Linked DNA regions of Daphnia pulex. The protein of the gene in region 4 purifies or fractionates together with the protein of the main gene of each other region. This does not show direct contact. Links are inferred from orthologs where the notes say so. Each region holds a gene or a part of one and is shown on either strand. Other genes may lie near its edges. The genes, in order: nucleoprotein TPR-like, nucleoporin Nup37-like, protein SEC13 homolog, nuclear pore complex protein Nup107-like and nucleoporin SEH1-like.

The links.
Region 1: the proteins of nuclear pore complex protein Nup107-like (region 4) and nucleoprotein TPR-like fractionate together in Homo sapiens (co-fractionation; 4 studies listed by BioGRID and IntAct, with this or other methods). This does not show direct contact. The link is inferred for Daphnia pulex from reciprocal best matches to the Homo sapiens genes NUP107 and TPR.
Region 2: the proteins of nuclear pore complex protein Nup107-like (region 4) and nucleoporin Nup37-like purify together in Homo sapiens (affinity purification with mass spectrometry; 7 studies listed by BioGRID and IntAct, with this or other methods). This does not show direct contact. The link is inferred for Daphnia pulex from reciprocal best matches to the Homo sapiens genes NUP107 and NUP37.
Region 3: the proteins of nuclear pore complex protein Nup107-like (region 4) and protein SEC13 homolog purify together in Homo sapiens (affinity purification with mass spectrometry; 8 studies listed by BioGRID and IntAct, counting the BioPlex papers as one, with this or other methods). This does not show direct contact. The link is inferred for Daphnia pulex from reciprocal best matches to the Homo sapiens genes NUP107 and SEC13.
Region 5: the proteins of nuclear pore complex protein Nup107-like (region 4) and nucleoporin SEH1-like purify together in Homo sapiens (affinity purification with mass spectrometry; 5 studies listed by BioGRID and IntAct, with this or other methods). This does not show direct contact. The link is inferred for Daphnia pulex from reciprocal best matches to the Homo sapiens genes NUP107 and SEH1L.

What each region holds. Positions count from the first base shown.
Region 1 is NC_060019.1:7,495,787-7,499,941, reverse strand, and holds the start of nucleoprotein TPR-like, read left to right. Parts: upstream 1-1,309; 5' UTR 1,310-1,455; intron 1,456-1,530; 5' UTR 1,531-1,540; coding exon 1,541-1,697; intron 1,698-1,774; coding exon 1,775-1,937; intron 1,938-1,994; coding exon 1,995-2,216; intron 2,217-2,276; coding exon 2,277-2,436; intron 2,437-2,506; coding exon 2,507-2,637; intron 2,638-2,696; coding exon 2,697-3,023; intron 3,024-3,085; coding exon 3,086-3,209; intron 3,210-3,273; coding exon 3,274-3,791; intron 3,792-3,860; coding exon 3,861-3,924; intron 3,925-3,990; coding exon 3,991-4,155. Other genes in the region: DENN domain-containing protein 1A-like, read left to right, coding at 1-54, 200-370, 484-858.
Region 2 is NC_060025.1:2,849,063-2,852,549, forward strand, and holds nucleoporin Nup37-like, read left to right. Parts: upstream 1-1,360; 5' UTR 1,361-1,566; coding exon 1,567-1,716; intron 1,717-1,809; coding exon 1,810-1,989; intron 1,990-2,050; coding exon 2,051-2,204; intron 2,205-2,274; coding exon 2,275-2,503; intron 2,504-2,590; coding exon 2,591-2,747; intron 2,748-2,818; coding exon 2,819-2,911; 3' UTR 2,912-2,976; downstream 2,977-3,487. UniProt on the Homo sapiens protein: Component of the Nup107-160 subcomplex of the nuclear pore complex (NPC). The Nup107-160 subcomplex is required for the assembly of a functional NPC.
Region 3 is NC_060026.1:1,756,671-1,759,890, reverse strand, and holds protein SEC13 homolog, read left to right. Parts: upstream 1-1,141; 5' UTR 1,142-1,293; coding exon 1,294-1,296; intron 1,297-1,366; coding exon 1,367-1,411; intron 1,412-1,486; coding exon 1,487-1,615; intron 1,616-1,691; coding exon 1,692-1,964; intron 1,965-2,027; coding exon 2,028-2,161; intron 2,162-2,229; coding exon 2,230-2,581; 3' UTR 2,582-2,669; downstream 2,670-3,220. Other genes in the region: uncharacterized protein LOC124206188, read left to right, coding at 1-626; tRNA (cytosine(38)-C(5))-methyltransferase-like, read right to left, coding at 2,692-2,845, 2,926-3,220. UniProt on the Homo sapiens protein: Functions as a component of the nuclear pore complex (NPC) and the COPII coat. At the endoplasmic reticulum, SEC13 is involved in the biogenesis of COPII-coated vesicles.
Region 4 is NC_060019.1:10,133,816-10,138,130, reverse strand, and holds the start of nuclear pore complex protein Nup107-like, read left to right. Parts: upstream 1-1,475; coding exon 1,476-2,255; intron 2,256-2,314; coding exon 2,315-2,660; intron 2,661-2,719; coding exon 2,720-3,071; intron 3,072-3,130; coding exon 3,131-3,599; intron 3,600-3,664; coding exon 3,665-4,315. Other genes in the region: protein BCCIP homolog, read right to left, coding at 1-136, 198-369, 428-591, 666-764, 825-1,109. UniProt on the Homo sapiens protein: Plays a role in the nuclear pore complex (NPC) assembly and/or maintenance. Required for the assembly of peripheral proteins into the NPC. May anchor NUP62 to the NPC. Involved in nephrogenesis.
Region 5 is NC_060020.1:7,749,694-7,753,120, forward strand, and holds nucleoporin SEH1-like, read left to right. Parts: upstream 1-1,171; 5' UTR 1,172-1,346; coding exon 1,347-1,457; intron 1,458-1,520; coding exon 1,521-1,677; intron 1,678-1,735; coding exon 1,736-1,887; intron 1,888-1,962; coding exon 1,963-2,309; intron 2,310-2,371; coding exon 2,372-2,532; intron 2,533-2,605; coding exon 2,606-2,769; 3' UTR 2,770-2,913; downstream 2,914-3,427. Other genes in the region: meckelin-like, read right to left, coding at 1-92, 154-345, 401-666, 746-1,058. UniProt on the Homo sapiens protein: Component of the Nup107-160 subcomplex of the nuclear pore complex (NPC). The Nup107-160 subcomplex is required for the assembly of a functional NPC.

The DNA.
Region 1 (4,155 bases), about 2.6 Mb from region 4:
ATTTTGGCCAAGACAGCGTCTTCCGCGTCAACACCACCCGCCATAGATCGTTCAGTAATAACTTTTACAATTGTGACTATTTCAGTTTATTGCTTGCTGGTTTTCCAATGTTTGGTTTTTTGTGTTGATGGTTGCTGGTTCTGTTTTGTTTATTTTATTATTTCGTTTTTTTTTTTTTTTTCTGTTTTAAAATTTGCAGCGTAAACCCAGTCTATCCAGTCCCCCTATTTCCCCTGTTGCCAACCCTGTCCTACGTCAACATAGTGCACCTATCCTTAACGCTGGACCTTATTCTGTTCAACCGATTCCCCTGCCACCCCTCCGTTCTCGTAAGCGTACCGAGCCACAAAGTAGTCCACTGTCTCCTAAGGTAATTTTTGTTTTCGTGTGGGTTTGAATATCGCGTGCATTTTTACCGTCCAGTCGCATTTGTGTTAGAATTTCCGAGTACTTGTTTTTACTAAACCCATAATATTTTTTTAGAGTGCAGCACAAGTAGATTTGATTCGTCTGGACTCGGCAACTTCACTCTCGCCAGTCGATGAATTTGATCCTTTAGGAGCTCTTCGAACGGAACCAGAACCAACGCGGGTAACCCAGTCTAATCCGGTCTATTCCTTCCACGTTCCGCGACAGATCGCAGAACCCCAAGTGCCATCTGGAGCCAGCAGTGGTAGTGGTGGAGCAACTACTTTTAAGGGCTACACCAGCCGTTTTGATACAGGATCGGATCCGTTCAGCAATCTTTTGGCGTTCACACGAACCAATCTTGGGCCAACTGTCTCTGGACCCGAGCGCGCCAAACCTAACGAATCCTTCCTTACATCCGACAAGTCATCTTGGACAACATTTGATTAATAATAATATTAATAATAATAATTAAAAAAACAAAAAACAATCATAACTGTCATTTGTATACACTTCAAAAAAGAGCATGGTCTTTTCCTTCCCTAATTATAGGTATACTCAAATGTTTAAATTTATTTCGTTTAACAAATTACATCGCTTTCCTCCTTCATGCTTATTGTATTATTTCTTATTTTATTTTAATATAAACCTTACGAGTCACATAGTTGTGTCGACGTCTTTGGAATGATCCTATATTTATTGCCAGCATTTATGTTGGTTATGAATAACCTAATGTGAAAAAAAAAGAAAAAAAAGTTCTATCCCCGAGAATTAACATTTAGGCATGTTGCAGTTTCCGTTGAGGTTCTTTTGCAGTCTCCCGCTTCCTCAGTTCCGCTCCCGCGTCCCGCTCCCGCCTTGTTAGGCGTCGTGGATAAAACAAACAATAAACAACTTGGCAACGTTTGCTTACGAATTTTGATGCCCAGGTTTGAGGACCCACGACGAAAAAAGTTTAGTCTACAAATTTTACTCACGCTCTCGCCAAGCTCAGACATCACCTGTTCTACCACAGTATCTACCGATCTTATTTTCCTACCCGGCGAGGTAAAAAATTTTAAATAATTGTTTAAACCATACATTAAATATTATTCGTTGTAAACCTCATTTTCTTTAATAAAGGTCCTTTTCAATGGCGGCCGTTAGCCTCTTGTCGTTAGTTTTATCGGAAGATGAATTTAAAAATCTAAATGACTCGATAAAAATTAAGTTAGAAGAGGTATTGAAAAAGCATGAAAATGATTCCAACCACTTGAATATCAAATTTGCTAAGCTTCAAACCCAGTCTGGTAAGTTTGCCTTTTATATTGTAACTATTTGGCATGTGGAGAGTAAACATCAAATGTGGCTATTGTATTCTTTACAGAACAACAGTGTTTTGAGTTGGATTCACAGCTTCAGCAACTACAAGATCGTTTACGAAGAGAGGAATCTCTAATTCAAGAATTGACAGATGGGAAAGCCAAGGTAGAAGCCGACCTTGCATCCTCACAAGATCAGCTCAATCATGTTGGATCAAAACTGGCTTTGTAAGATATTTTTATTTTAATCTTGTAAATTATTTATTTATCTGGTGTCTGTTTTAGACTGGAAGCTACTCACCAAGAGTGGAAGAAAGAAAAGGAATCACTTTCAGAAGAAAAGGATAATCTTAATTCTCTACTTTCAAGAAGAAATGACGACCTGGATAGACTTACAGGGGAGCTCAAGGCTTTAACTGATCAACTTGTTCATGCCAATAAAGAAAAATCTGAAGCCCTTATAAAAACCGAAGAACTTAACAGCCAACAGCTTGCTCTGGATTACAAGTAAGTTCTATACTTTTGTTCAGTTTAAATGTAGGTAAAAATAAAATGTAATATTTGTAGAGAAAAAAGGCTGAATCAAGAACGGGAACTTATTGTTCGACAGCAGAGGCTTTTGCAAGATGAACTTGAATCCAGAACAAAGGAGGTTATGAACATCAGACGTGAGAAGACTTCTAAAGTGCTAGAACTGCAAGCAGATTTGTCTGAGAAAATTGAAGAGGTATTCTTTTGCAAAATTAACACTAGCATTACTCAATTGTAATAATTGTTTTCTAAACTTATTTTTCTAGTTACGAATCGCTCAGAAATCCATCGGTGAACTAACAACGACAATTGAGCGACACGAAAAGCATATTAAAGAATTAAACGATAAACTCAAGGAACTAAGTGAAACAGAAATGAAAATGTCCGAAAATAATAGGTAATATTCAAAGTTTAAAATATTACTAGAATAATGATAAATCGTTAATCATCTTACAGAAATGAGCTGAGATCTCAAATGAGACTTTGTGATTTGTACAAAGCATCGAGTGAAGACGCCCAAGCCAAAGCTGATGAAATTACCAAAACTACCGAAGAATTGCAAAGACTACTTCGTGATGCCTCAGTGCGATTTGGAAACCTGGAAACAGATTCTAAGGCTCAAATTGATCAGCTAAATGACCAATTACAGAAAAGTTCTGAAACTAATGGGGAATTAAAGAAAGAACTTGAACGTGCCAATGCCTTACTTGATCCCAACAAATCACGTTTAATAACTGAAGAAAACATAGAAGCTATGTCTCCATCAGCTGCTGCAGCTTCACGGTAATAGAATGTGTTCCGTATTTTTAATCAATCTAATTACGTATAACTATTTTAATTCATAGGTTGTTGAAATCAGGAATGACCCTGACGCAGATTTACAGTCAATATGTGTCCATTTCCGAGCAAATGCTATTCAAAGAGGAAGAGAATAAAAAGCTGAATAACTATATTGATCAGATTCTCCAGGTAAAGAATAAATATTTTTTCTTTTATCGGTTGCTAATTCAAATTCTTTTACGGTTGTTTACAGGAACTCGAAGATCGAGCGCCAACCATAGCTCGACAGCGAGAAGACTATGAGAAATCAATTGAAATGGTTGCCAATTTAACCAGACAACTTGATTTAGCTGTAGAAGAAGCGGAAACCGAGAGAGAAAATGCTCTGGAAGCTCGCCGTATGCTGGGACAGTCTCAACGAACTTCTCAACGTCTCGAGAAGCAAGTTGCTGATCTGAGTAAACAAGTTTGTTTGCTCATTCGTGAAACCGAGGAGCTTCGAGGTAACAGGATACGCGACGAGCCCGCTGACGAAGACCAAGTGACGTCCAGTGAAGGATCGGCTGCTGCCGTAATTAGTCGCCACCTCGTCACGTTCCGTGATGTTGAGGAGCTTCAACAGAAAAATCAAATGTTGCTGACCACCCTCCGTGAAGTAACCGAAAAGCAAGACGCTGCTGAACAGAGTGAGATTGATACCAAAACCGCCAAAATTCAGCGTGCATTGGAAAATGCACTGACTGAAGTGGAACACCTTCGAGATACTCGAAGGTATAAACTTTATTAATCAGAGATACATTTTTTTCATTAGCTAAGTCTAATATTTATGACTTTTTTTAGGCGCCATGAAGAGCTGATGGAGAGTGTTATCCAACAGCGAGACATGTATCGCATTCTACTTCAGGTGACAGTTAACTTTGTTATTTATATATTTATTAAATGAGTTTTTAAACGTGCAATGCATTTACAGGAAGCCGGATTAGGAGACGCTCAAACACCGTCCAAATTCCGTAGTGTTGTCACGTCAACTCCTGCTCAAGTTAGGCAAGAAAGTGCTCGACCGGCAGACATAGAACTGCAGCTTAATGAGAGTAAAAAGTGTGTGGAAGAGAAGGAGACAAAACTCCAAAGCATC
Region 2 (3,487 bases), on a different chromosome or scaffold from region 4:
ATTTTTCTTTTTTCCTTTCGCTCTCTTGTGTGTAATTTCAATCAAGCGCAAAACTCACAACTTTGGTTGGTGTTGTAATATATGGCCACTATAACTCTGCACTCTGTGAACTTGTAGATTTTTTTTTACCCCCCTTCCGCCAGCACTTTGGATTGGTATAAAATGTTGCGCAAGAATAAAATTTTCTTTTTTCTTGGATTTTTCCGGTACGTGAAATAATTTAGGCGACCCCACATCAGAGTGCGTCATTTATATCTTTTCGAGACGCCTTATTTATATTTTGTACTTGGGCAGCAGCTTTTATTTCTTCTTTGAGAAAATGGTGATGTCGGAAAAGAGATTATAATGATGATGAAGCTCCGGATGAGCTTACCGCGCCCGAAATCCATTGGCACTTTCCATTTGATTAATGGCGCAGCGGCATCGGCGGCCCACACACACACGCGCGACTATTTGCTTCATATATCGCGCATCACGTGTGTCCATTAAGGAAAGAAAAAAGATGAATCGAAATATATTTCCCTCGTGTCACGCAAACAGAAATTCAATCGATCTGCGGGATTATCTAATGATTCGGTTAAATGGTAAATTATACTGGGTTATATATTTTCGTTTATTTATAAGGAAGTGTTTTCATTGAAAACACTCGACAAAAATTACATCTTGCATCTGTAACAGACGCAAGACATCTCGTGATAGGAGTTCGAGATTCGATAGATCTCCGCACCAATAATTATAATTATTTAGGGTAATTATAATTATCACACAGATAACTTGTAATTTGTATTTTATGCAACACGGCTCTATAAGTACGGATTTCTTTATAAACTTAGCTAACACCTGAAGCATCACTGAAGTGCGATTTACATAAAAACTACTCGATTTTTTAAATGTTAAGAAATAGTTTATGACGCGCAATTATTTCTTACATAAAGTTCATTTATGAATATCTGCTTTAGTTTACTCGTGTTGTAGTTGTAACACGACGATAAGGCAAATTGCGTAGGTGAGGTTTCCTCGATTATGGGTAAAAACCCTTGCGGATATTGTCTATTATGAGACACAAATGGCGGAACATTTGTGGGGGAGGGGGTGATTCTTTCTTTTTGTCTGTAATCTGTAAAACAGAAATAATATGTTTGATAAATTCCCATATTCGGAAAATTGTGTTCTGCCATTAGTCAAGTTGCTATTAAAAATCTTAGCATGACAGACACATTCTTCTTTTTTGTCCGATATACTCACTGGTAGCGAGGTAATTTAATAACCTATAGCTGTGCGTTAAGAAAAACCATGGAATAACTGACTAATTTTCAGATTGATAAATTTTACTTTTATTGCTTTTATCGCTTTTATCGGCTTTTATAAAACCAGAGTTGATAATTTGATAAAGCGGTTGCAAAAAAAGGCTACTGGCAACAAAGCGACATGAGGGATTGAAATTCGGCAACGTAACTTGGCAGACGTAATTTGTTTTTACAAACCACGAAGCACGAACCACAATCAGAAAACCGATTTGAATTTGTAAAAAGATTTTTAAGTAAAAAAGCCATCATAAAAAAAGAAATGGGCTCTCTTTCCAGACCGTTTCATTCAGTTGGCTTGGGAGATGAAGAGATTTTCTGTCTTTCATTTTCACCATACGAGTGGTCCAAAAATTTCCTAGCAATCGGAACGGAAAATAAGGTGGTCGTTGCCAACGTTCAAAATGAAAACGTAAGCACATTTTGTATTGTCAAAACCTGTCATTACCTACTTGATACATCGTTATGTATCTATTGTTTTACTAATTGCTTTTGTTATCGTCAGGATGAGATTCAGTTCAATGTGATTCGTGAATTTCATCATTTTTGCCCAGTTGTTTCCTTGAGTTGGAGTGCACTCTCATCCAGTGATACAGTTCCTAAAGTCTGCAAATTTGCCACAGCAGGCATTGATGGGAAAATTCGGATTTATACAAGTGATCTTGCTCAATCAGAAAATGTTTTGGTAACAGGTTTAGCATACTTTGAAAGTCTTTTAAAAATAAAAATCAACATTATCTTTATAGGAATTGAGTGGACATGCTGACAATGTCAATTCAATAGCATTTCAACCAGACATCAATGAAAAATTCTTGATCTCTACTTCTGATGATTTTACTTGTAAAATTTGGTCTACAGAGACTGGAGATCTTTTAAAAACAATTCCTCTTCAATCTTCAGGTGATTTATAAATGAGATGTAAAAATGACAAAAATAACACTGTAGGATTAAAATTGGAAACCTTATGTAGGAATGGCCGTTAGATTCAATCCTTCGGAGCCCAGTAAATTCTTAGTGATGGAAAAGTCTGGCGTTACAAGAATCTTCAGTACTTTAAATTTTTCTCCAGTAACTTCTTTGAGCAACAACTTTAGCTGTCAAGACCCGGCTCTTGATGCTGATTGGTCGTCCTGCAATCCCACTCATATTGCGACATCATTAGGAGGTCGAATTCAAAATTGGGATTTAGAGGCATTAAGGTATACTATTATTCTTTACAAATGACATTACTTGAAAGCTGTCGACCATGGCAGATTGTTATTTGATTTCTTGGTTTAAAAAAAAAGGCTTCCAGAAGACACTACAACAGTTTCTTGTGAAATGGTCCGAAAAGTACGCTTTCATTCTACCATCGATACATTGATTGCCGTTCTTGGATCACCAGGCCCTGTTGTGACCGTACTCCGTTCATTAGGACCAGTAATGATAACGGATTCGTTAATGGTAAACTTAGCGTAGCAAATTTTTTTTTAACGTTGAATTTTCATAATAATATGTACTCCATTTAAATTTAGGCTGCCAGCGATCTAAGTTGGCATTATTCTTTACCCCTTCTTGCTGTAGCAAACGATCGATCTGTACGATTTTGGAAATTGCTACTAAAATAATCCCTTATTGTAAATTAATTTTGATTTCTGAATGCTGATCAAATAAAATTCTGAGCTCAACCAAACTTTAACTAACAATTCTCTTGGTAAACATATTTTGTTAAAACTTTTATTGAAAATTCCACTTATTAAGTTATGGTAATTCTTTTCTGTTGTTATATAACATAGGTCCTTAGTAATGACATGCCAATTAACAAACCTAAACAACTTTGACAAAAACATTTATACTTTCTCATATTAAATGATCAAATCCAATATAAGCCCTACTTCTTAAATTTAATATCCTGGAGAAATCATTTGTCACTATGGAATTTTTAAGCATATACATGCATTGAATTCAAAGATTTTTTAAATGATTCCATTAAAATTATATATATTATTAAGTTTTAACAGGAAATTTAACATAAATTTTGTTTGAAGAAACAATATGTTAGCAGGTTATAGCTTGCTGGTAAAGTGGTAACCTAAGTTCCTAATCTAGGCCCTTAATTGCCATAATTACCAGAACGCCAATACGTCTGTTTTTATTGGTCAGCAAATGCTGTTTGGATAAGTTTTCATTTTCTATTAAACTTG
Region 3 (3,220 bases), on a different chromosome or scaffold from region 4:
TTTCTTCTCGTGCTGTGGCCTCGCACATCAAGTCGCTGACCGAACTTTGGATTCAGCTGGAGCCGAAGACCGTCAATTCCATTATGGAACGCCTTGACGTGTTGGGCCGCCATCCGGAATTTATCAACAAGAAGAACTTTGTTGCTTCCGTCGGTAAGCCGTGCCTGGCTTTTTACCGTGAGCCAGATGATTTCTTCCCTGATGACGGACAATGGTATCGCGCCGTGGTTGAAAGCGTCAATGGAGACACCGCCAGAGTCTACTATTTTGATTACGGTCACACTTGTGAGGTGCAGACCAGTTTGTTGAGAGATTTACCCTCGGATTACGCCAAGCAACCGGCGTTGGCATTCAAGTGTTGCCTGGATGGAGCGGAATCTTTCTCCAAAGTCGCCGCCGATGCTTTTCTTGATCGCTTCGTTAAACGTGCTTTCTTCGCCGTTAAATTCATCAAGGTCGTCGACGGAGCCCTTCACATTCGTCTCTTTACTTTAAATGGGGTGGATCTTTTCGAAAAGCACCGCAAGATATTGACTCCGCCTTCGTCACCGGAAACTTCAGCGAAAGCAGATGAGAACGATTTTTCGACACCTTTTGCATTCCTTGCGACTCCATCACACAAATGAACCAGTTCATTTTCTCCAAAACAATTTCAAAATTCTTCTTACGACGACGGAAAGTCTTAATTCTATAGAGAGAGAGAGAGAACAATTATTTTATGAACTCGGTCAACAAATATTCAGCTTTTCTTTTCAACAGTGTTAACACACCCAGCCTTCTTTTTGCATCTTAATTGTTACAATATTATAGTAAAGATGTTTAATTCCTTTCGGTCTTCACAAACTATTTCCCAACAAAAATTTTTATATTAGGCTGCGGTTGTTTCATTTTCTGTGCAAGAAATATTTATTTTGGTTTCATTACTTTCGTGACTACGTTTCCTTTTTTCACGTTTTTTCCACTGTGACTGCGTTAATTATTTTTGTACTTGTCCTGTTGCACGTCACCCTTGTACTTCTTCCGTTCTGAAATTCTTAATAAATCATATTTGTTCCTTGTATTTATTTGTACGTCATCTTATTGATCTAACCCTTTTTTTGAATGAAAATTTAAATGGAGGTGGCGTGGCGCCAAAACGTTTTCACTAAAATTGGTTGAATTGTTGATGTTTGGCAACGCGCTGGGGACACGTCGACTGAAAATTGACAGATTCGTTTGTGTGAGTTTGTCGGTATTTTTTTTACGCAGGAATATTTTATAACTCGCTGTCTTATCTACAAGTTCTCAGTAAAAATGGTACTTTGTCATAATTTGGATGCATTTTTAAAGGCACTTGTAAAATTATCATTAAATTATTCCCTCTTAGGTGTCAGTCATTTCCACAGTCGATACTGGACATGAAGACATGATCGTGAGTATCTAATCATTCTGATGTTGATTTTGTAATTTCTTACATGATATTAACGTTTTTTTGGGGATTTATTAGCATGATGCGCAAATGGACTATTATGGCTGTCGGCTTGCAACCTGCTCATCTGACAGGTCTGTGAGGATTTACGATGTGAAAAATGGAACACAAACATTGGCTGCCGATTTGAGAGGACACGAAGGACCGGTATGTTAATTTTGAATGATCTGTTAATATCATACAACAAATGGTGGTTATACTGACAATTTCATACATTTATCAGGTTTGGCAAATTGCTTGGGCTCATCCCAAGTTTGGGAATATTTTAGCATCATGTTCTTATGATCACAAAGTTATTATCTGGAAAGAGATGAATGGACAATGGGTCAAGTTTTATGAATATGCTAACCATGATTCATCTGTGAACTCTGTTTGCTGGGCCCCTCATGACTATGGCCTTATCCTCGCTTGTGGAAGTTCTGATGGATCCATCTCCATTCTCTCTGCTACAGCTGCAGGAGGTTGGGAGGCCAAGAAGATCAACAATGCCCATACAGTATACATTTCACCATCTTTATTAAGTCTTAAATATTTCCTAATGCATGTGATGCTATTGTAGATTGGGTGCAATGCAGTTAGTTGGGCTCCAGCTATTGGACCTAACGCGGCCTTTGACTCAACTACCGGTTCACGATCTGCTCCTGTCAAGCGTTTTGTTAGTGGGGGTTGTGATAACCTAGTCAAAGTCTGGCGGTAAGTTACATAATTCATTTAAAAAGTAAATCTCCTTTATCAATCGAGGCCTTTTTTCGAATTTGCAGGGAAGATAAAGAATGGGTTGAGGAAGCTAAACTAGAAGGCCATTCGGATTGGGTTCGTGATGCAGCTTGGGCTCCGTCCATTGGGCTTTCGCGTACGGTCATCGCCAGCTGTTCTCAAGATCGTCGAGTGATTCTATGGACCAACGACGGTGTTTCCAGCAGTTGGAACCAACGAGTTCTTCACACCTTCGAAGATGTTGTTTGGCACGTCTCATGGTCCGTGACCGGAAACATCTTGGCGGTCTCTGGTGGGGACAACAAAGTTAGTCTCTGGAAGGAAACAGTGGAAGGCCAATGGGTATGCATCAGTGACGTGAATCGAGGCAAGGGATCGACGCCTGGCCAACAGTGAAAATACCCGTCTGTTTGTTAATCTCCACTCTAACGCTAGCCATGTTTCCCTTGATTTGGTTTACTATATAAATTACCGCAAAGAAACATTTAAACGTTTAATTATTTATTTCAACCCAATAATATTCTTAAAAGATTAGAAACTACCAACACGTTCAAACTGTTCCCTAAGAGTCGATACCGAGTTTTAAGTGAAGTGTTTTCAGGAAAGGTAAATTCAGCAGGGAAGCCCATTAAATTTCCGACTTCTCGCGGTGTGAAATATCTAAGAACAGAAAATGTTACAACAAATAATACGTTGGGTTAGTTATGAGGCAATTTCAGTTATTAGGTTTTCAATCTTACCTTAATTTTAAAGGTTTCAAATGAGCAATATCTTCATCTTCTTTAAATTCAGCGAATTTTTGGTGAAATGGCTCGTTCGGGTCGTGTTGAAGTACAGAACCAGTTCCTTCTGCATAGTGGGTATACGCTTTGGTGAAACAACAGGAAGATGTGTCGGATGTTCGTCGTACATCGAGAATACGCCAATACTTTAATAATGTTTTATCAGTAAGCAAATAACGTGCCAATTCTTCATCAGACATATCTTTCTCCAGATAGGGGTCTAACGTTTTTTCTTGCACCGGCATTTCAATGT
Region 4 (4,315 bases):
CCTCAGGCAGCTGCTTTGCGGTAATAAGGACTATCCTTCTTTTCGGATCGAATTGTTCGTCATCTTCGTCCCATGTCCCGGAAACTGCTGCATCTGACTCGCTTCGTACAGAATATTCTCCTAATATTTCACCCATCTATTTGACGAAATTTTATTACAACCTACTCTACTTAGGCGTGGAATTAATAGATGAATACCTCTGAAATTGGTTCTTCTTCTGCATTAACCCATAATATGGTGGCTCCTCCTTTGACTTTTTTTTTCCTTGATTCAGGATCTTTTCTTGTAGATTCATGAAGTTTGGAAATTAAAATGAAGTGTGTAAAGTCAAAAGGCTTTCCAGATTTTTTTGCTTCATCAATCTCCTTACTATTAACAAAATTTTACATTTAAACTTGGGATATAATTCAAATTAAGTCTTGTATACCATAGATTTTCCAGTAGGGGAACAGAAACTTGAGGTGGTATGTTTATGAACCTTTCATTGAATATAAGTCCTATCTGGTTAGATGGATCATCAAACAATCCACTCAGTTTCTTCTGTGTTTTTTCCAACAGGTACTTTTTTACTTCTTTAATACATTCCACATCCTAGGAAAAGTAAATAACAAAAAAAATTGGGTTAATTGTAATTTGTGTAACACAAATTCAAAATTTTATCTCACCTTGTGATGTGTCAAGTTAATTACAGAAGTAATTCCAAAAACTTCATCAAGAGAATTTCCTTCATCATCACTATCAGGTTCATCATTATCCACACATTGCTGAAGAAGTAGATATCTTTAGTAAAGTACACAAATTACATCTTCACAAGATTTTATTACCTGTAATATACTTCCAATGTAGTTTTGCTGAATGATGAGTTCCGTCAGACCACTTAAATTAATATGAGCCTTTAGGAAAAGCTGATGCATTAGACTCTTGATACCGTGAAAATCTTCAGCGATTGGTGATTGACCTTCAAAGTCGACTTGAATCTCTCGGTCGTTCTCTCCAAGTTGCTCATCTTCACCCATTTCTTCATCTTGAGAATCATTTTCTTCTTCTTCTTCCTCTGAAGAATCGCTGCTATCTTCTTCCATAGGCCGTTTAGTATTGAAATTCGCCATGATTTTTAAAGACAATTTTTCACACGTGTCAAAAAGTCAAAAACAAACTTAAGTTTGTCTGCTAGGAAGGGGTAGGAAGGAAGTGAAGTGAACATTCAAATTGTTTGAAATAAAATCTTAAAAATTGAGTTAAAAAATAGAATAAAATTGTATTAAATATTATAACAATTATAAAAATCAAATCATTACTATTTCAATTTCAATTAATTATAATTATTTTAATGAATAAAACTTTGAACGTGAATTGCAACGCCCTTTTACTTAGTCTGCTACGTTACAATAAAACGAAAAACGGAAAACTTCAAACCTTCAAACTTCTTCTTTATAAGACAGTGAATTTTATTGTATCTTTTTAAAATAAGCACAATGGAGTTTCAATCTCCAATTATTGCCGGTTCTAACTCAACTGTTACTGGCAAACTAAATCTTCCTGGTCGAAGAATAAAGCACTCACTCGAAAAGACATCAGACATGTTGGGGGCCAGTTGCCTCCCTTCTCCTAACCGACATAATACAATGTCTTTTATGTCTGATGATCTTAGCCACACTATTTTCGAAAGTGATCCTACATTTACGAGAATTGGTGCTGGTTTACAAAGGAAAAATCTGGATTCGACAAGAGCAGACTTAACAGTGAGCAATGTATCACGAAAGAAACGAAATGAAGAACTCATGAGCATCCTTCTAGAAGAAGAAGTTCCAGGAGTAGAAAATGTCTTAGAACTATTTGAGAGATTCCTCAAAACATTTCAGTCATATGGGGCAGAACATCAAGTGTTTAATCAGTGTGCAGAATATGAGTCAGAATGTGGAGAACAAGTATCTGCTTTGCGAAAATTGATTCAAATGGCCCCTCGTGGACACAACAAACTATCACAAGCACAAGAATTGGAGCAAGAACTGAGACTTGAGCGTGACACATGGAGATTGGTTGCATCTCTCTACCAAGATCGTTTAAACTCTGAATTTCATGACAGTGAAATGGAGTCTGATGAAATCTGGAGTGGATTGGATGATGTTACAAGTGAAGATGACTTGGTAAAACAACTCTATGACAAAAATGCCATAATCAGACAGGCTCAGCTCGTAGTCGATTGGCTGGAACAACGAGCGGCTGATGTCTATCACGATTCCCATTACAGCCAGGTATTTTTTAATGTAATTAAAATTTTCTTTTATTAAATAATATATTATACTCTAATTAGGTGGAGTTTTACGGAGATGCGGTTGCCGGCTGGGAAAATACTCTTCATTCTTTGGTCAGTAAAAAACGAGGGCTTAGTACAGATAACGTCGAGCAAAATATGGTTACTCAAATGGATCCCGATGCTCCTAACCGAGAACAAAACAGACGTCTTCACCCACTTGACAAAGAAGATGAAATGCGTTTGCTTCGTTCTGTATTTGCTCGACTCCGTTGTGGACAGCTGGATGAAGCCCAGCAGCTCTGTTTCCGAGCAGGTCAACCATTTCGGGCTGCAATTTTGGAAGGATGGAAACTGTTTCATGATCCCAACATGAAATCTCGCACGGATGTAGCCAACACGAAAGGTAATTTCCAGATTTGTAGAAACCAATGGATTCGATAAAAATATTTATCTCAACTGTAGAGTCGCCATCTGGAAATCCTTATCGTGACATATGGAAGACGATGACTTGGAAAGAGTGCGAAAATGTGCAGTTGTCGGAGGAAGAGCGCGCAATCTTTGCTCTTCTTTGTGGACATTTGAAAGCCCTTTTACCTGCCTGTCGTTCCTGGGAAGATCAACTGTGGGCTCATCTGCGTGCCATGATCGACCACTGTGTCGAGAAGGAACTTCGTCGCTGTGTCAATTATAAACGGCAACTTCAAATTCTACCAGACGAATATTGGAATCAACAGTTGACCGTCGAGTCCATTTTCTCAACTTTAGCTGCCTCCAGAGATAAGACTTTGATCGCCCAAGGCCGTGACCAATATAGGTGACTAATTCTTTAATTTGTCTAATGCGAAATTTACCAAAGCAAATTTTGAAATGCAGGATCATACAGCGCTACCTTATTATGGATGATGTTGACGGATTACTTGAAGAAATGTCGTCTTGGCTGAAACAAGGTGACAGCTGGAGCGTTCACCTACGCCCTCACATGATCCGGCTAATGTCCCATCTTGCTCTGTTCTTCCGGCGCATCGGTCGTGGCTCATGTGACGATTCCATCGGATCCATCCTGGAAGCTTACGTTCTACAACTTGTCAATCTTGGACGAACTGATTTGGCGGCTGTCTATGTTGGACAATTGCCTTTGCCAGAAGATCAAATTCGCCTGTATGCTCAATGCCTCGTTATGGTAGAGGAACAGGAAGAATCCTGTGACGACGAGGAGCGAAGGCGCCTCCTATCTTTGGCCCAGGATGTCGGACTTGATGTCAACGCTATCGCCAAACAAGTTGTAATCAAACTTTGCGACCAGGGCGGAATGGTCCAACACGTCACTGATGCTTCTCTACAGGTGATTAATATAGATTTCGATCTGCATTCGTGCATAGCGTACTCATAATTGTTTAATACTTTTAGGTAGCGACCACGGCAGAAGATGAACGCCGGATACGTTCACTGAGCTGGTTGTTAATGGATCCGTCAATGCGAAGTCAATTGCTTATCCAAGCCAACACTCTCATGCGGGGATACCTTCTCCGTCGTCAGATTGAAGCTGTGAAGCTGACGTTCCAGTTGACTCCACCCGACACAGTCGCCATATTGACCGAACTATGGGAATCACGAACTGGATTGACGGATTTGCCCACTGAAGTCGAGGCTGCTGTCCGTGAATACCTTTGCATCCAGACTTACATTGATGCACTAGACGCCTTTCAAGAATGGTTCACACGTTTCCATCACTCCAAGCCCAAGAAAACAGAAGCTACCGTTCAACAACAGCGAGGAGGAGCCAGTTCTCAACTATCATTCACTGAAAACTTACTCAAAGAACAGCATCTTAAGCAACATCAAGTTGAAATTCAACGCTGGCAGGCAGCCGTCGATTCCCTCACGCAATCAGCTATTGACAAACTGTATAACGTCCTACTTTTTCCTGACGGAGGCTGGATGGTTGATAGCATGTCCTTCGAGGAGGAAAATTCTCCCCGACAACAGCAACAACAGTTGTTGCGACAAACTTGCATCCCACACGCAGCCCTGCTACTTTGTAATGTCTTGACGAGCACC
Region 5 (3,427 bases), on a different chromosome or scaffold from region 4:
GTGCAGCACAATGATTTAAAAACCGATTGAAGAGGCTGGATCAATAAATATGTACCATCTAATGCGTATTGTTTAACCATAAAATCCATTTTCTAAAAAAAGTCATTAATGAAAAACTTTTCCTGTTTAGTCCGTAAAAGTTATAGATGCTACTTGATCTTTCAGTATGTTTATCCTGGCGGAGTTTAGTAGATATTCGTTTTGACTATCGTCGTAGTATATTGAATTGCTAAAGCCTCCAGATAATTGTCGATAAAGAGAGCAAGCTGACTGAGAATCGTAGTTGTAATCCGTTAAGACACAGAGATTGATCAGATGTTCGCAGTATTTTCCTCCACCGTGTGCCTTTAAAGAAAAAAAATTGGTGTTTAATAGCACAAACATGGTAAATAATTCCTACCTTGCATTTAATTGCCGTCAATCTAACCCAATTCCGCAAATAATTAGAAATGTAAGGTCTCCCGTGTAAGTTATATGTAAAGATAGTGGGTGTTTCGGGAATCGTGAATAAATCTTTGACGCAAGTTCCGTTCACATCTTCGTATTCACTAGGACAATGACACATGTTCGAACAAGGAACGCACGAAGATTTTGTGTCATCAGGCTGATGCCAAAGCGGGCATTTCAGACATCGTGCGGAGGTAATATTTCCAGTAATTTGAAGGACTGTGATAAAAATTCAGAAATTAATTCTTCTTTACTATACTTAGCAGATAGGACCTAGGTAAATGTGCGTTTTTCATACCTTTGATGTCGTACGGTTCACACGTGAGATTGCTTTTTAGACACATTTCTGACTGAATTGATTGGTTACAGCGTAAGCATTCAATTGCTTTGGACTTTTCATTAAATTCAGGGTAGTAGCCAAAGCCACACTCACAACTCAAACGGTCATCGGAAGATATTTGAAAGACCCCGCAACCTTTGCACTTATGTGATATCGAATCAAAGTAGGAGGAACGATTGCAGCTTTCAGGAAACGAAGACAATATGACATCGTAAGCCTCCACCTTCTTTAAGATGAAAAAAAGCAGGTAATGAGCAACTAACACGATCATCGTCACTTTAAATTTTTGTTTGTTTTGTAAAGCATATTTGTTACCTAGCAACCACTCCCCAGCAATGAGCCAAGTCAGCCAACCAACAATATCAGAAAAAACATCGTTTCTTTCATGAATCAATCTGGCAACGCCCACAACTGTCCCATACTGCCATAGTGCCATACATTTGAAGTTTGATCAGTCGAGCTGTCGGCTGCTTGCGTTCTTGCTTTCTTAATTCTGTGAAATTTGCAAGCAAAAACTTGTTTCTCGTGATTAAGAAGTGATTTAAAAAGTTCTGTAAACATGTTTCAAGCAAGAACGATAAATGCTGAACACAAAGACCTGATTCATGATGTAGCTTATGATTTTTATGGGCGTCGATTGGCTACTTGTTCCTCCGACCAGAGTGTTAAAGTAAATTGTTAGAAATCGAAAAAAATTTCTTGTGTTAACTAAATTGCGGAATTATCTTTCAAGGTTTTTGACCTGGATGAAAATGATGAATGGAGATTGACTGCTGATTGGAAGACTCATGCTGGTTCTGTTTGGAAAGTAAATTGGGCTCATCCTGAATTTGGTCAAATTTTAGCCACTTGCTCATTTGACAGAACAGCTGCAATTTGGGAAGAAATTGGTTTGTAAAATTCTTTACAATTTTAACAACTTAAATTAGTTACTAAATGCATATCCAGTTGGTGAATCAGGGAATTCAACGCAGAGTAAAAACCAAAGTCATTGGGTGAAAAGGACAAGTTTGGTAGATTCAAGAACCAATGTGACTGACATCAAATTTGCTCCAAAACACATGGGACTATTGTTAGCTATGTGTTCAGCTGATGGAGGAGTAAGTTCTAAGATATATTTATTACATTGTTAAATATATAAACCAGATGAAAATGTCAATTTTATAACATAATAGGTTAGAATATATGAAGCCCCAGACATTATGAACCTAAGTCAATGGAGTTTGCAGCAAGAAATAACACTGAAAATGCCTGTGTCTTGTCTATCATGGAATCCGTCATTTTCTCGTCTCCATCCTCCAATGTTGGCAGTTGGTAGTGATGACACGAATGTCGCCTCTGGTGGAAAAGTGTTTCTGTTTGAGTACAGTGAAAGCTCCCATCGCTGGTCTAAAGCTGAAACTATCAACACAATAGTCGACCCAGTGCATGACATAGCATTTGCACCTAACTTGGGAAGAAGTTACCACATTCTAGGAATTGCAAGCAAAGATGTTAGAATAGTTATTCTTAAACCACCTCAGTAAGTAGTTAAAATATTTTAAGGATGGAATAAGAATAAATTTATAATTTTTTTTATTAAAGGAAAGATGCTTATGCAGCAGCTTGTCCAACTTCCCAGTTGGAGATACTGCAGGCAGCCCAATTTGATGACCATCATTCTACTGTTTGGAGAATCTCTTGGAACATTACTGGAACTATTCTAGCTTCTTCAGGAGATGACGGCTGTTTAAGAATGTGGAAAGGCAAGAAATCAAGAAATATTTAATGCCATGTCTGGCCTATTAAATCAGCTGTTTTTACTGTCTATTTCCACAGCCAACTATTTGCAGAATTGGAAATGCATTGCCGTGTTGAAAGGTGATGGATCGGGTGTAAGTCCAGAAGACGGAACTGATCGTGATAAAACCGTTTCTGCAGCAACTGCTCGTTACTTTAAACTTGGCGCAATCAGCAATCCAAATCAAGTACCCTGGCACTAACATTTACTTCCCAATTTTTATGATAATAATATGTCTCTTCCAATCCACACAAATAACTGGGAGTTTTCATTTCTGGAGAAACCCATGGTCTCGAAAATGGAAAGTTGTTCTGAAGAAATAAATGAAATGATATGGAGTTTTAAACTATGTCATTTTTTCATGTCACATTCGTTTAGGGTCAAGTTGTTATAAAAACACTTTTCTCTAGTAGAGTAGCTATTTGTTTTTTTGTTAGGAGGGAAATGATTCAAATGATTTGATCATTTTCAGCTGCATTACTGCATACATTTACACATCTCTAAGGACATTTACAACAATAAACTGTAAGGTCATTTTTGTGATTTTTGACAAAAACTGAATATTACAAAACTCACCTGTTAGATTTTTGCAAACGTTTGTTTTTGTCTACCTCCAGTTTAAAAGTCAGTAGTTCCGTAAATATTATCAGTAAGTATTATTTTGACGCAAATAAGAAAAGAACTAAGGATTTGTGATCTTCGTCAAATTTTGGGTCGATTGCATGTGTCTGTAGGAAATATAGGAAAATCATCCTATTCGTGATTTTCCCTAAACTAGTGATAGCCATCACAAAAATTTACGATTTTAGTTTTAAAAAAATCATTTTTAAACATGGGAAATTGAGCTATCAGTTCCTTCC